4 linked regions of the Sus scrofa genome follow. The protein of the gene in region 3 interacts with the protein of the main gene of each other region in a biochemical or structural test. Links are inferred from orthologs where the notes say so. Each region holds a gene or a part of one and is shown on either strand. Other genes may lie near its edges. The genes, in order: RIOK1, COPRS, PRMT5 and CLNS1A.

The links.
Region 1: the proteins of PRMT5 (region 3) and RIOK1 are reported together in a solved structure, tested with the Homo sapiens proteins (2 studies listed by BioGRID, with this or other methods). The link is inferred for Sus scrofa from reciprocal best matches to the Homo sapiens genes PRMT5 and RIOK1.
Region 2: the proteins of PRMT5 (region 3) and COPRS form a complex in vitro, tested with the Homo sapiens proteins (3 studies listed by BioGRID, with this or other methods). The link is inferred for Sus scrofa from reciprocal best matches to the Homo sapiens genes PRMT5 and COPRS.
Region 4: the proteins of PRMT5 (region 3) and CLNS1A form a complex in vitro, tested with the Homo sapiens proteins (5 studies listed by BioGRID and IntAct, with this or other methods). The link is inferred for Sus scrofa from reciprocal best matches to the Homo sapiens genes PRMT5 and CLNS1A.

What each region holds. Positions count from the first base shown.
Region 1 is NC_010449.5:4,764,221-4,767,788, reverse strand, and holds part of RIOK1 (serine/threonine-protein kinase RIO1), read right to left. Parts: intron 3,043-3,568; coding exon 2,956-3,042; intron 2,384-2,955; coding exon 2,246-2,383; intron 1,688-2,245; coding exon 1,584-1,687; intron 1,093-1,583; coding exon 986-1,092; intron 1-985. UniProt on the Homo sapiens protein: Involved in the final steps of cytoplasmic maturation of the 40S ribosomal subunit. Involved in processing of 18S-E pre-rRNA to the mature 18S rRNA. Required for the recycling of NOB1 and PNO1 from the late 40S precursor.
Region 2 is NC_010454.4:43,096,335-43,098,561, forward strand, and holds the end of COPRS (coordinator of PRMT5 and differentiation stimulator), read left to right. Parts: intron 1-471; coding exon 472-693; intron 694-1,235; coding exon 1,236-1,405; 3' UTR 1,406-1,664; downstream 1,665-2,227. UniProt on the Homo sapiens protein: Histone-binding protein required for histone H4 methyltransferase activity of PRMT5.
Region 3 is NC_010449.5:76,109,602-76,113,838, forward strand, and holds the start of PRMT5 (protein arginine N-methyltransferase 5), read left to right. Parts: upstream 1-1,403; 5' UTR 1,404-1,408; coding exon 1,409-1,518; exon of another isoform or gene 1,519-1,754; intron 1,755-2,198; coding exon 2,199-2,317; intron 2,318-2,626; coding exon 2,627-2,712; intron 2,713-3,260; coding exon 3,261-3,395; intron 3,396-4,237. UniProt on the Homo sapiens protein: Arginine methyltransferase that can both catalyze the formation of omega-N monomethylarginine (MMA) and symmetrical dimethylarginine (sDMA), with a preference for the formation of MMA.
Region 4 is NC_010451.4:12,103,621-12,107,188, forward strand, and holds part of CLNS1A (methylosome subunit pICln), read right to left. Parts: intron 3,217-3,568; coding exon 3,080-3,216; intron 1,645-3,079; coding exon 1,543-1,644; intron 633-1,542; coding exon 525-632; intron 1-524. UniProt on the Homo sapiens protein: Involved in both the assembly of spliceosomal snRNPs and the methylation of Sm proteins.

The sequences.
Region 1 (3,568 bases), about 71 Mb from region 3:
AAAATAAAAACAGCAAACAAGTGTTGGTGAGGATGTACAGATGCAGAGAATCTGGGATCCATGCAGCCTGTTGGTAAGAGTGCTAAATGGTGCAGCCGCTAAAGAGCATGGCAGTTCCTCAAAGGATTACAAGTAGATTTACCCCATGATCCCGCAATTCTACTTTGGAGCCTGTATTCAGAAGAACTGAAAGCAGGGTCGTGAAGAGGTACTTGTACACCCATGTTCAAGGTAGCATTATTCACAACGGCCAAAATGTGGAAGCCACCCACGTGTCCACCCACTGATGATGGGCACACCAAGGGTGGTACAAGGACACACTGGAACATTATGCAGCCCTCAAAAGGAAGGAAATCCTATCTCAGGCTACACCATGGAGGAACCTTGAGGACCCTGTGCTCAGTGAACTAAGTCGGCCAAAAAAAAGACAAATACTATCTGATCCCACTTATATGAAGTGCCCAGAGCAGGTGTCACACACACACAAAGTGAGGACCGGGCTGGGGAGCGTGGCGGGGGGGCCTTAACGGGGACAGTTTCTGTTTCACAAGAGGAAAAAAGTTTTGTGGATGGATGGTGGTGATATTTACACAGCAATGTACTTGAAGCCCCTGGATTGTACACGAAAAAACGGTTGCAAGGGTAAATTTTGTGCCCTGTATGTATATTTTACCACCGTTTTAAAAATTCTCTGACTACTTAGAAGGGCCTCTGAGAAACAAGGGAAAGGAATTAATAACCAAAAGCTAACAGGTTTCTTACTAAACATTCGCACATTTGACCGTCTATGTATCTTGCCTGTTTCGAGTTCAGAAACTTGGCTTATCACTGGCTTTTTACTATTGTTTGATCCCCGACCTGTAAGTCAGAAGGACACGGTCTCAGGAAGCTGTCACAACGAACAAGAGTTGTGCCGAGTCATGAGTCCCTCGGAGACGCCACACAAAGGCAATCACTCCTTTCTCCCCTTTGCCACCCGCCTCACCTTTGAGAGATAAGCATCCACGTTCTCATGTGTAATTGATGGATCGGTGACAAATTCAAAGAGCTCCCGCACGGTCATCACAGCCACCCCGTGCTTCAGAAAGAAATCTACAAGAGGAGACGTTCATGAGAGCTTTGCGAGGGAAAAGGTTGTTATTCTAGACCCCTTATGCACAAAGAGATAAAAGCACACCATCTCCCAGCAGATGGTGTAAGTATCACTGCACCAAACAATTCAGTGCAAACTTTTTTTTTTTTTTTTTTTGCTTTTGGTTTTTAGGGCTGCACCTGCAGCATATGGAATTTCCCAGGCTAGGGGTCCAATAAGAGCTACAGCTGCCAGCCTACACCACAGCCACAGCCATACCAGATCTGAGCCACGTCGAGTCTGTGACCTACACCACAGCTCACAGCTCAATGCTGGATCCGTAACCCACTGAGCAAGACCAGGGATTGAACCAGAAACCTCATGGTTCCCAGTCGGAGTCGTTTCCGCTGGGCCACGATGGGAACGCCCCAAACGATTCTAAATCAGTGCTAAAGAGAGTTCAGAGCCCCGTGCCGAGGCAAGCTGGCCGAGAAGCCCGCTCTCCACTCACCGTTGACGTTGGCACAGTCCTTTCTCAAGAACTCCAAGGCATGCGGGTGGTCGTGCTCCACGGACTGGGAAACGTCAATGACGTACACGCCTCCACCCTGGTACCTGCGGGTCAGGCGCCCAGCGCCGTGAGAAACAGCAGTGGGCTGCATGCCACCAAGAGGGCCGGGCACCCCGGCCTGGGCACACCACTGCTTGCCCCCACGTGTCTAAAAAATTCTCCATTTTAAGAGCAATGGAAACTCATAAGTGAACGAATAAAATGAACAGGGTGGGCAAGGAGAAGAGGCACTCTGACTAATGAGAGGTGAAACCTCATATGAAAAAGAAGACATGCACACACACACACACACACATGTAACTGAATCGCTTTGCTGTGCGGCACAAAGTCACACAACACCGGACACCCACTACATTTTCAATTTTAAAAAAAAAGAAGAAAAAAAGAAAGAAAATGTCCAAAGTCCTTTCACTCTGCTAATGATCAGGGTGCTGGATTCTGTGACGAAAGTCACCGAAGCCGAGGGACACATCCTGCCCTGTGACGGAGCGGGAGCCAATCTTAGAGCCGGAGAGCGGAATGTGACTTCCTGGGCTGGGACTTTGTCTGCTTCCCCCAAGGACGGGACAGGCCTCGGGGCAGGTCGGGGGACACACACTCACAGCAGGTTGAACTCGCTGAGATCCGCGTGCACAAGCCTGGCGTCCTGGTACATCCTCCTCATGTACTCGATCACCTGCACGTACAGCTCGCGAGCCTTGGATTCTGATAACGGAACATTTTTCAACAGTGGTGCTGGCCTGGAGCAGACGCAAGGTGAACGACTAAGACAAACGGACCCAGAACAAGTTTTCTTATTTGATAAAACGCTACGCCCATTTCTCTTCTATAGCTCATCACCGAACCACTTCTTTAACTATAAAAACACCATTCTAAAACGCTGTCGGAGTTCCCGTCGTGACTCGGTGGTTGACGAGTCTGACTGGGAACCATGAGGCTGCCGGTTCGATCCCTGGCCTTGCTCAGTGGGTTAAGGATCTGGCGTTGCCTTGAGCTGTGGTGTAGGTCGCAGACGCAGCTCAGTGTAGGCCGGCAGGAGAAGCTACGACTGGACCCCTAGCCTGGGAACCTCTATATGCCGCAGGTGCGGCCCTAAAGAAAAGACAGAAAGACAACACACAAATAAATAAAATAAAATAAAATAATAAAATGAAACGCCGTCAACAGGAGTTCCCGTTGTGGCTCAGTGGTAACGAACCCAACTAGCATCCATGAGGGTGTGGGTCTGACCCCTGGCCTCGCTCGGTGGGGTTAAGGATCTGCTGTTGCCCTGAGCTGCGCTGTAGGAGCTGCTAGGCCTTCCAATACTCACGTGTCGCCTCTTCCAATGAAACCCATGACCAGCACATGGCTTCTTAGCAGGACAGGTTCCGGGCATGGGATCTGTGCTGTGCTTAGCCTGTGAGAGCAAAGAACAAATGAAAAGCTAAGACAAACATTCTAAAACACCTCGTCGAAAACAGCTGGCAGCAGCTACAGCAGCCAAGACTACTACCTCCCTGAGGAGAGAGCACAGGGCCTCTCAACTCTATCCTTTTACTTCATAAACCCTAAGACACCGGTGATTTTAAGTGGCACCACCATGCAGCACCAAGAACAGCAAAACACTGCCAACTCAACCACAACACCCCACAGCTTCTAACACCCATTTCGATTCCAGAGCCATTAAACTGTGGAAAAAGTGGGCACCTTAGAACCGATGAAACACAGCAGACAACGTTTGCCATGATCTTTTCAGCTGATCAGTGTGAACAATAATTACTCAAAAGAGTGGACTCAGAGGTCCCTCGTAGCTCACGGGTTAAGGATCCGGCATTGTCACTGTAGTGGCTAGGGTTGCTGCTGCGGCATGGGTTCGATCCCTGTCCTGGGAACTTCTGCATGCCACGGTTGTGCCCCCCCCCAAAAGTGAACTCACACCCAGT
Region 2 (2,227 bases), on a different chromosome or scaffold from region 3:
ACTGGGTTAAGAATCCGGCATCGCTGTGAGCTGTGGTGTAGGTTGCAGACACAGCTTGGATATGGTGTTGCTCTGGCTGTGCTGTAGGCCGGCATCTGAAGCTCCCATTCAACCCCTGGCCTGGGAACTTACACATGCTGTGGGTGAAGCCCTAAAAAGCCAAAAAAAAAAAAAAAAAAAGTAACAGGGAGTTCCCTCGTGGTCTAGTGGTTATGGATCCAGCATTGTCACTGCTGTGCAGCAGGTTCAGTTGCTGGCCTGGGAACTTCTGCTTGCTGTAGGTGTGGCAGAAAAAAAAAAAGGGAAACAGGACAATAATTTTTAAATAAGGTCTCTGGTGGCTAAAGAGCTCTGAACACTATTTACTGGTGTCCTCTTAGTAAGTCCGGCCAAAATCTCCCAAGCACACGACTCGGCCCTCTCTGGCTTGCCTGTTGTTTTAAGTCCTTTTTCCTCTTGTGGATTTCTTAGCCACTGGAGCCCAGAGCATCCCTAACGATAGTCCTGCCCGTGGTGAGAGCATCCATTCTGAAGAGGAAGGCTTTGCTGTGGATGATGAGGACTCTGATGGGGACCTGAATACATGGGAGCTGTCAGAAGGGGTGTCCGGCTGTCCACCCAAGGAGCAGGCTGCCGACCTTTTTAACGAGGACTGGGACTTGGAGTTGAAAGCAGATCAAGGGAATCCATATGGTAGGTGTGGGGCTCCTGGGGTTCCTAGGCCAGGGTTCCGAGACCCTCCTACGAGATGAGCCCCCTAAAGGCAGCCAGTCTGGAAGAGGGACACATCTAGGAGCTTATTAGCCCGAGAGCTGTAACAGGTCTGAGATTTCTGTGACAGCTTCTCTTTCACATGAAATAATTGGAAAAAAAGGGCAGGTTTGCATTTGATTACTTAGTGTATTGGTTAGTTTTAATGTCAAAACTGCGTTACTCTCCAGATACCTTTGCATGAATCAGGCAGCTGCAGACAGAAGTGCTGTGGTCACCAGTTGCTTCCTCTGCGCTGCTAAGACCCGTGTCTGAGAAGCGGGCTTGTGGGTGGCCTCAGAATGAAGGTGCTTACCGGTCTTCAGCAAAGGACTCTGTGTGTGTTGGCGTGTGTGTACGTGTGTGTGTTCATGCAGTGTGTGTTTAAGCAAAGAAAGTGTGGGCGTCTGTCCCCTAGACATTTTGGGCTCTCCCTTTTCACCCTCCCTCCTTTCCTTTAATCTGGCTTTTAAAACTGCCCACAGATGCCGACGACATCCAGGGTTGCCTTTCTCAAGAGGTCAGACCTTGGGTGTGCTGTGCCCCACAAGGAGACATGATCTATGACCCCAGTTGGCACCACCCGCCTCCACTGATACCCCATTATTCCAAGATGGTCTTTGAAACGGGACAGTTTGATGATGCCGAAGACTGAGGGTGCCGCCCTGGCCTGGTGGGCGGGCGGGCCTTCCAGGTCAAGGTCTCCTTCTTTTGAGGTGAGATGTCACATCCGAGGAGACATTCCCAGTGATCCCCAAGCTGGGCACACAGACTGGTGTTAAGTAAGGTCTGCCGCCCCCTGTTCTGTTGTTGTTGTTGTTGTTTTTAATGAGCTTCTCCCAGGTATGTGTGTGTACGTCTCTGTTGGGAGAGGAGTAGAAAACTTTATAAATAAAGGTAGGAAATGATCAATACGCTTTTGTCTACTTTTTTCTCCTCCTTTTAAATTAGATACTTTTTTTTTTTTTGCTATTTCTTTGGGCCGCTCCCGCGGCATATGGAGGTTCCCGGGCTAGGGGTCTAATCGGAATTGTAGCCACTAGCCTACGCCAGAGCCACAGCAATGCGGGATCCGAGCCGCGTCTGCAACCTACACCACAGCTCACGGCAACGCCGGATCCTTAACCCACTGAGCAAGGCCAGGGACCGAACCCACAACCTCATGGTTCCTAGTCGGATTCGTTAAGCACTGCGCCACAACGGGAACTCCTAAATTAGATACTTCTGACCAAAGGTGTACTTTCTTTTTTTTTAGGGCTGCACCTGTGGCATATGGAGGTTCCCAGGCTAGGGGGTCGAATGGGAGCTGTAGCTGCCAGCCTATGCCACAGCCGCCACAACCCCAGATCCAAGCCGCATCTGTGACCTATACCATAGCTCACAGCAACGCCAGATCCTTAACCCACGGATCGAGGCCAGGAATTGAACCTGCATCCTCATGGATACTAGTCAGATTCATTTCCACGGAGGCACAATG
Region 3 (4,237 bases):
TAGGCATTTTCGTAGTTCTCTGACTTTCTGACTTTCATCCTTTTGGGGCGCTTACAATGTATTCCCTTATAGCTTAGCCTATCCACACACATTCCGTGTTTCTCAGGACTCTGTCGTCCACTGCGGCGATCTCATTCGGTCTCCTGGCTTCAGTCACTATCTCTCTTCTGGCGATTTGCAAATCTTGTCTGGTTCAGATCACTGTTCATACAACTCTCTATTACACAGCGCCCCCTAGACGTCCAAGTCAGCATTTCCAAACCCCAGCCTCGATTCTCCCTAAACCAGCTTTTATCATTTGTCTCGCTCAAAGAGGCCAGAACTCTGGGCATCACCCCCAGACTTCCCTTTCTCAGACTCCCTGTCAGTCGGTCTCTAAATTCTGTCAAGGCCTCCTGCCTAGGGCCTTTTGTATTGATTCTCTTTTCCGTTCCCCGCTGCCAAGTCCGCAACACCTCTGGGCTTCCTGCCTTCAGGTATTTCTCCTGCCTAGATCTTTTTTTGCTTCATTCCTTTCCTTCTTTTCCATCCCTCTAGCAAGCATGGAAAAGAAAAATGTAGAGACTCTTTCCTGTCTCTGCCAGTCAATTCATAACTTCTCTCCACTGTAATCTCTCACCATGAATTCCTTTATCTTCAGTGGTGTGTGTGTTTCAGTGTTTGCTTTTTGTATTTGAGATACCGAATCACAAGGAATTTGTGGCTGAATTGCCACAATCTGTTTAAAAATATACTAAGGCCCATTCAAAATCCATTTTAAGAGCACCAGCCATTAACTCAGTTTTCTTGGTGCATTTGGATGCACCAAGGCAGGGACACAAGAACCATCTTTGAACTAGGTATTATTAAACGCTGGCATGAAATAGTTGCAGAATGCAATAACATTAAGACCTGAAAATGAGAGCGAGAGAGGACAGCGAAGAAATTTTAAAAGGGGGCATTAAAGCATTGCAGGGGATGCACCAAAAGCGTTAGCCCCACCGAGCCAGCCAGGAGTCGAACCTGGAATCTTCTGATCCGTAGTCAGACGCGTTATCCATTGCGCCACTGGCCCTGAGACGACTTCTTCGTTCTCAATGATGACACTTCAAGCTTATACTGCAGGGTTTCATGGGACGTGTAGTCTCTTACCGGAATTTTACCAGTACATGAAGCATTATGGGAGATCGAAGTTTGTCGAGAACCAGACCCTGAGATTGGTGACTCTTCCGGAGCCGTGCCCTACGTCACTGTGCAGCCTGCGGATTGGCAGGAAGAGCCACTTCCCACCCCTCCTCCACTTGCTCGGGACCCTGGGAGACGCTTTGGTTGTCAGGGAGACTCGTCCCGCCTTCCGGGGGCTTTTTTTCGGCTTTGTGATTGGCTGCCAGTGTCAGGGAATCTCGGCGTGGACTGCGCGAGGGAAAAGATGGCGGCGATGGCGGTCGGCGGTGCCGGTGGAAGCCGCGTGTCCAGCGGGAGGGACCTGAATTGCGTCCCCGAAATAGCTGACACACTGGGGGCTGTGGCCAAGCAGGGGTGAGGGCCTGGACTTCCGCGAACAGAATGCGGGGTCGGAACTCGGGGACTGAGAGGGGCAGACCAGTCATCCCTGGGAAGCAGGGGTGAGGGGGTCGGAGTGGATAAGATTAGGGTGGGAGAAACCGCTAGTCCATGTAGGGAGAAGCCTCCGGCCCTGGAGCGTAAGAGAAAGAGAAAGAAAGACATATTGGGAACGTGTGGTCCCTGAACCCCAAAGTCGAGAGAGTTATCAGGTAAACTCAAAAAGAGGGCGTACGACCTCAAGGGCCCTGGAGAGCGAGGTGCGAGGTTCTTGTCTCAGAGTGGGAGGAAGTGTTATGGGGCTAGGGAGAGGAGAGATGAACCTTGAGGGCTGAAGCCTGGGTAGTACTGGAGCAGATCTGGATATGACAGTCTTGGAAAATCAGTGACAACAGAGTAGAAAGTCCACGTGGCGTGGATTTTCATCTTTTCTCTTTTCTCATCTTTTCCATGGCTCTGTTCTGGGAAGAAATTGAGGCACAACGCAGTGGAAGTGATATTCCCTAAAATGGGCCGAATTCAGCAGCCCATTCGAGTGACTGACTAATGGCAGCTGAAAGGGTTGTGCAGAATGGAGATAGCCTAGTCCAATTGCTTGGATCGCTGGGCACTGCTACTCTCTTTACATGACGATTCTGGGTCTGTCGTGGTTGTAGGTTTGATTTCCTCTGCATGCCTGTCTTCCACCCGCGTTTCAAGAGGGAGTTCACTCAGGAACCTGCTAAGAATCGGCCGGGTCCCCAGACACGATCAGACCTACTGCTGTCAGGAAGGGGTAGGGACCATCCCACATGCCCCTTAATTATTAGAGGCAGTAACAACTTATGTTTTATCAGTGCCTTCTTCCTCTTCCTTTCTTGACCTGGATGTATTTGTTCAACCCTGGGATATGGATAACTCTTGTTCTCTCCTTGCTTACTGCTCAAAGCCTTAGTTTCCTATTCTGCATCAGGCTTTCCTGTATCTGTGATAGAAAAAGCCTTTTGTCTCTCATCTCTACTATTCCCTGTTAAGAAATAGAAATTGAATGCATAAAGTGCTGAACCTCACTCAGTCTTTGTCTTTCTTGGGTTGGGGAGTGCAGACTGGAATACACTAATTGTGGGCAAGCTTTCCCCATGGATTCGTCCAGACTCAAAAGTGGAGAAGATCCGCAGGAACTCTGAGGCGGTAAGACTGACATCTTCACCGAATCTTTCTAAAGATCAGATCTGTAAACAACCTGGATGGGGAGAACAGATTTTTCCCCTCCATAACTTAGTAAATCTGATGTAATGCACTTAAAGCTGTTTGAGGAGTTCCCCTTGTGGCTTAGTGGTTAATGAATCAAACTAGCATCCAGTGGGGGAAAAAACTGTAACTGCAATGTATACATCTAAGGATGACCTGACCCCCTTGCTGTACAGTGGGAAAATAAAAAAAAAAAAAAAAAAAAAAAACTAGCATCCATGAGGATGAGGACAAGGGTTCAGTCCCTGGCCTTGCTCAGCGGGTTAAGGATCCGGCATTGCCGTGAGCTGTGGTGTAGGTTGCAGACATGGCTCAGGTCCTGAGTTGCTGTGGCTGTGGCGTAGGCCGGCGGCTTCAGCTCTGATTGGACCCCCAGCCTGGAAACCTCCATATGCCGTGGGTGCAGCCCTAAAGAGACAAAAAAAAAAAAAAAAAAAAGGTTGTTTGAGTTGCTAGCTCTTAACTTTGCCTCTTGTTCTCCATTCTAGGCTATGTTACAGGAGCTGAATTTTGGGGCCTATTTGGGTCTTCCAGCTTTCCTGCTGCCCCTAAATCAGGAAGATAACACAAACTTGGCAAGAGTTTTGACTAATCACATCCACACTGGCCACCACTCCTCCATGGTATGGCTGAGGGCCTCCTTTCCTGCTGCACATTATGGTAGTCAGGCTGTGCTAAATATCTTCTTTTCCTAGCCATTCAGTAAAGGGTGCATTAGGCAGAATTTAAATGTCAGTCCTGCCTACCCACAACTAAAAGTGGTAAGCAGAGACTTATAAAATACATAGCATATTCTATTATCTCCAGAAACTTATAATAAAGTAAAAGACAGGGCAGATACTTACATAAGGATGTACACGAGATACGTGTGCACATACATAAAATCACAATTGGGAAAAGCATGTAAGGGGATTAAGTTGAAATCTAGATCAAGATCTTTTTATTTATTTATGTTTAAGCTTTTTTTTTTGTCTTTTCAGGGCTGCACCTGTGGCACATGGAGGTTCCCAGGCTAGGAGTCAAATCAGAGCTGTAGCTGCCGGCCTACACCATAGCCACAGCAACGCCACATCTGAGCCGTGTCTGCGACCTACACCACAGCTCATGGCAACATCAGGTCCTTAACCCACTGAGGGAGGCCAGGGATCAAACCCACAATCTTAGCTCTTAGTGGTTCTTAGTCGGATTCGTTTCCCCTGTGCCATGACAGGAACTCCTGGATCAAGATCTTTTTAATTGAAAGAAGCTTCTGGACCCAATGAGTTCAAAATAGAGTTCTAAATAGGGCAGAGAGGTGTTTTCTTGTGGCGCAGTGGGTTAAGAATCTGGTGTTGTCGCTGTTGCGGCTTGGGTTATTGCTGTGGTGGGGTTTGATCCCCAGCCTGGACACTTCCACATGCCAAGGGCACGGCCAAAAATAAATTAATTAATTAATTAAGGTACAGAAGCTATTTATTGTTCATGT
Region 4 (3,568 bases), on a different chromosome or scaffold from region 3:
GGAGACTCAAACCGGTACACATGAGACCAGTGGGAAAAAGAAAAAAAGAACAGTAGGCGCCTCAAGCAACAGGACTCTAAACCAAGCTAGTGACTGCATTCTGCCCTGGGGAGGCAAAGGGAAACATTCTCAGATAAACAAAGTACCGTTCTGGGTAAAAGAAACTACACGGGCAATGAGTGTTTGATGGCACAGGTTAAAGATGTTCCAAGTGGTGGAGGCGGAGGTTTCTTTTCTGGGAGTGGCGGCATAAACTTAAAAGCCCCTCCCGACTACCCATTTTCCTATCTATCATCTTCCTTCCATTTTCTTCCTCCAATTCCCTCTATTTTTTGTCCTCAAGCTTCGGAATCCCATAAAACTTTGCGACTTGGCTTAGACGTGAATTGTACCATTCACTTTTATTTAAAACCATACCATGTGGATATCTGGAGATAAAGAACTACAATCCCACATCCTTACACAAACGGATGCTTAAAATGAAACACACACAGAAACGCTCTTATAAAATCCTTGCTACTAACCATGTGCTTCCACGTCATATTCTTCTCCGTCGTAATCATCTGAATCTTCATCCTCGGGATCTGGATGCAAAGCCTGGCATTCGCACATTGCAGTGAACATTGCCTCCACTGGACAAGGAATTAAAATGTTGTCATTAATTTTCTCCCTCATCAATGTGTAATAAAAATTTAACAAAATAACCATCAGTGCAAATAAATTTAATGAGTAGACAAGAGGTACACGAGGATCACAACATTTACACAATCTGCCAAGTTCTAAGACGAACCAATCTTGTAAAGTATTTGATAAGAGATAAGTCACAAAATAATAAGAGTTCATTTTGAAATATTATTGAGATCTCTTCATGCATGGTTGGATTTTCTGAGTAAAAGCATCAGTGTCTTAGTCAGACCACTGGCACCAGAGTAAAGCCCAGCAAGCAGGCAGGGCTCTTTTTTTTTTTTTTTTTTTTTTTGGCTTTTTAGGGCATACGGAAGTTTCCAGGCTAGGGGGCGAATTGGAGGTGCAGCTGCAGGCCTACGCCACAGCCACAGCCACGCGAGATTCAAGCCACATCTGTGATCTACACCACAGTTCACGGCAATGCCGGACACCTAACCCACTGAGAGAGGTCAGGGATCAAACCCACTTCCTCATGGATACTAATCGGATTCATTTCTGCTGTGCCACGACAGGAACTCCCAGGCAGGGCTCTTTTCAGCTTTCCAGGCATCTTTCATTTTAGAATTGCCAGGAGTCCTCTGTCCTTTTCCAGTAAAATTCGCAGACAACAGCACCAAGTCCATGAAAATAACTAGATTTCTTCATTCGCAAAACACACCTGAGCCTGCCATACTCTCATTTCATTCATAATCTTATTATATTAATAAGTATCTGGTCCTCAGTGATATTCCATATGCTAAAATGAAGAAAAAACAATAGAACAGAGCTAATAAAGGTAAAGGAGTATGTGTGGATATGGATGGAAGGAATGCTTGGTATTTAAAGGGAAAAGAATCAATTCCAAATAACACTCACATGCTGATTTATCACTAGGCACAAATCTAAACTCAGCAATAGGTTCAATATCATCATCACTGTCTTCCTCTTCTTCATCAGCAACAGATTCTTTCAATTCTTCTAGAAAGGAAATAAAAAATAGCTTTTTAATGATGTTGTTTATTTGTTTTTAAAAACAGAGGCCTAAGCAAATTCCTAAAAGCATGCTTATTGACATATCAAAATATTGCATTTTTTTCCTTCAAATTATAGGAACATAGTTATTTTGAAGCTAAAAAAGACTCTGGAGAGTTTCTCTGGTCTAATTACATTGTACTTGAGTAAGTCCGAAGGATTCCAAGCCCCATCAAGGTCATGGTGGGAGGCAAGGAAACCCAAACACTCAGGCTTCTAACAAGCAGATTCCACTGTCATGTCTACTTCTCCTTTCACCTTGAGACAAGGACCCAAGAACAGTTTGTAAACTACTAATGTGATTCACCATCAACAATTTACAGGTAAGAAAAGGAAGGTCAGAGTTCACTTGTGGTGCAGCGAGTTAAGGATCCAGCGCTATCATGGCAGCAGCTTGGGTTGCTGCTGTGGCACAGGTTCAAACAATGGCCTATTTCCACATGCTGTGGGTGTAGCCAAAAAATAAAACAAAAAAAAACAAAAAAAAAATTGGAGAAAAAAAAAAAAAAAAAGTGGGGCGTTCCCGTCATGGCTCAGTGGTTAACGAATCCGACTAGGAACCATGAGGTTTTGGGTTCGATCCCTGGCCTTGCTCAGTGGATTAAGGATCCGGCCTTGCCGTGAGTTGTGGCGTAGGCTGCAGACGTGGCTCAGATCCCTGGTTGCTGTGGCTCTGGCGTAGGCCGGTGGCTACAGCTCCGATTAGATCCCTAACCTGGGAACCTCCATATGCCTCGGATGCGGTCCTAGAAAAGACAAAAAAAAAAAAAGTGGGAGCTCCCATCATGGTGCAGTGGAAACGAATCCGACTAGCATCCATGAAGATACAGGTTTGATCCTTGGCTTGCTCCATGGGTTAGGCCTCACTGTGCCCCCCCCCCCCCCCCCCCCCCCCCCCCCCCCCCCCCCCCCCCCCCCCCCCCCCCCCCCCCCCCCCCGCCTTGCTCAGTGGGTTAAGGACCCGGCACTGCTGTGAGCTGTGGTATAGGTCGAAGACAAGGCTTGGATCCCACATTACTTGGATCCTGCAGACAAGGTGTAGGTCAGTGCCTACAGCTCCGATTCAACCCCTAGCCTGGGAACCTCCATATGCCAAGGGAGCAGCCCAAGAAATGGCAAAAAGACCAAAAAAAAAAAAAAAAAAAAAAAGAGAGAGAAAGAAAGAAACATAAATACACAAAAGTACAGAATTCTAAGTACAAGTATATAGAAAATAAAAGGCGGTGTCCAAATTATTTTACTGTGCTGAAATTTTGCTTAAGAACATATTATCCAAAATAAGTCAATGGTTTGAATATTACATTGATTGTGATCAAAGAATATTTTTTGACATATAATAGGCTACCAGAGGAAGCTTAAGATTAAATCATGCCATACATACCTCCAAATTTGGCATTCACCATAACATACAAATGCTCTCGAGGATAGGCATTTAGGTCCCTGGATACTGCATGCAAACTAATGGTGGGGTATTCCAGTGAGAATCCTAATCCAGAGCCATCTAACCAAGACAGGCGGCTGAAAAACATGTTTTAAGTAGATTATTTTAAGAACTTAAATCCTTATTTAATATCCTTACATTTATAAAGGTTCAGCTTGGACACTTCTACAAATGAATAAAATGCAAAGCATATTGTTTACAAATATTCGCAAAATGAGAAAATTCAGTAGTAGGAATTGAATTTAAGACCAGTTCTGTTACAGTCTGTTTTCCTCTAGCTAAATATTCAAACAGATTCGAAATGCAATTTAAGTCACGTGTGTTTCTATGCCTTTTTACACGTGTTCTCAGTTGGAATGTCTTCAGGCACCTTCTTTGCTTTTGCAAAGGCTCTTCATCTGAGTAAGTCCGAGCCTCTCCATGAGTCCT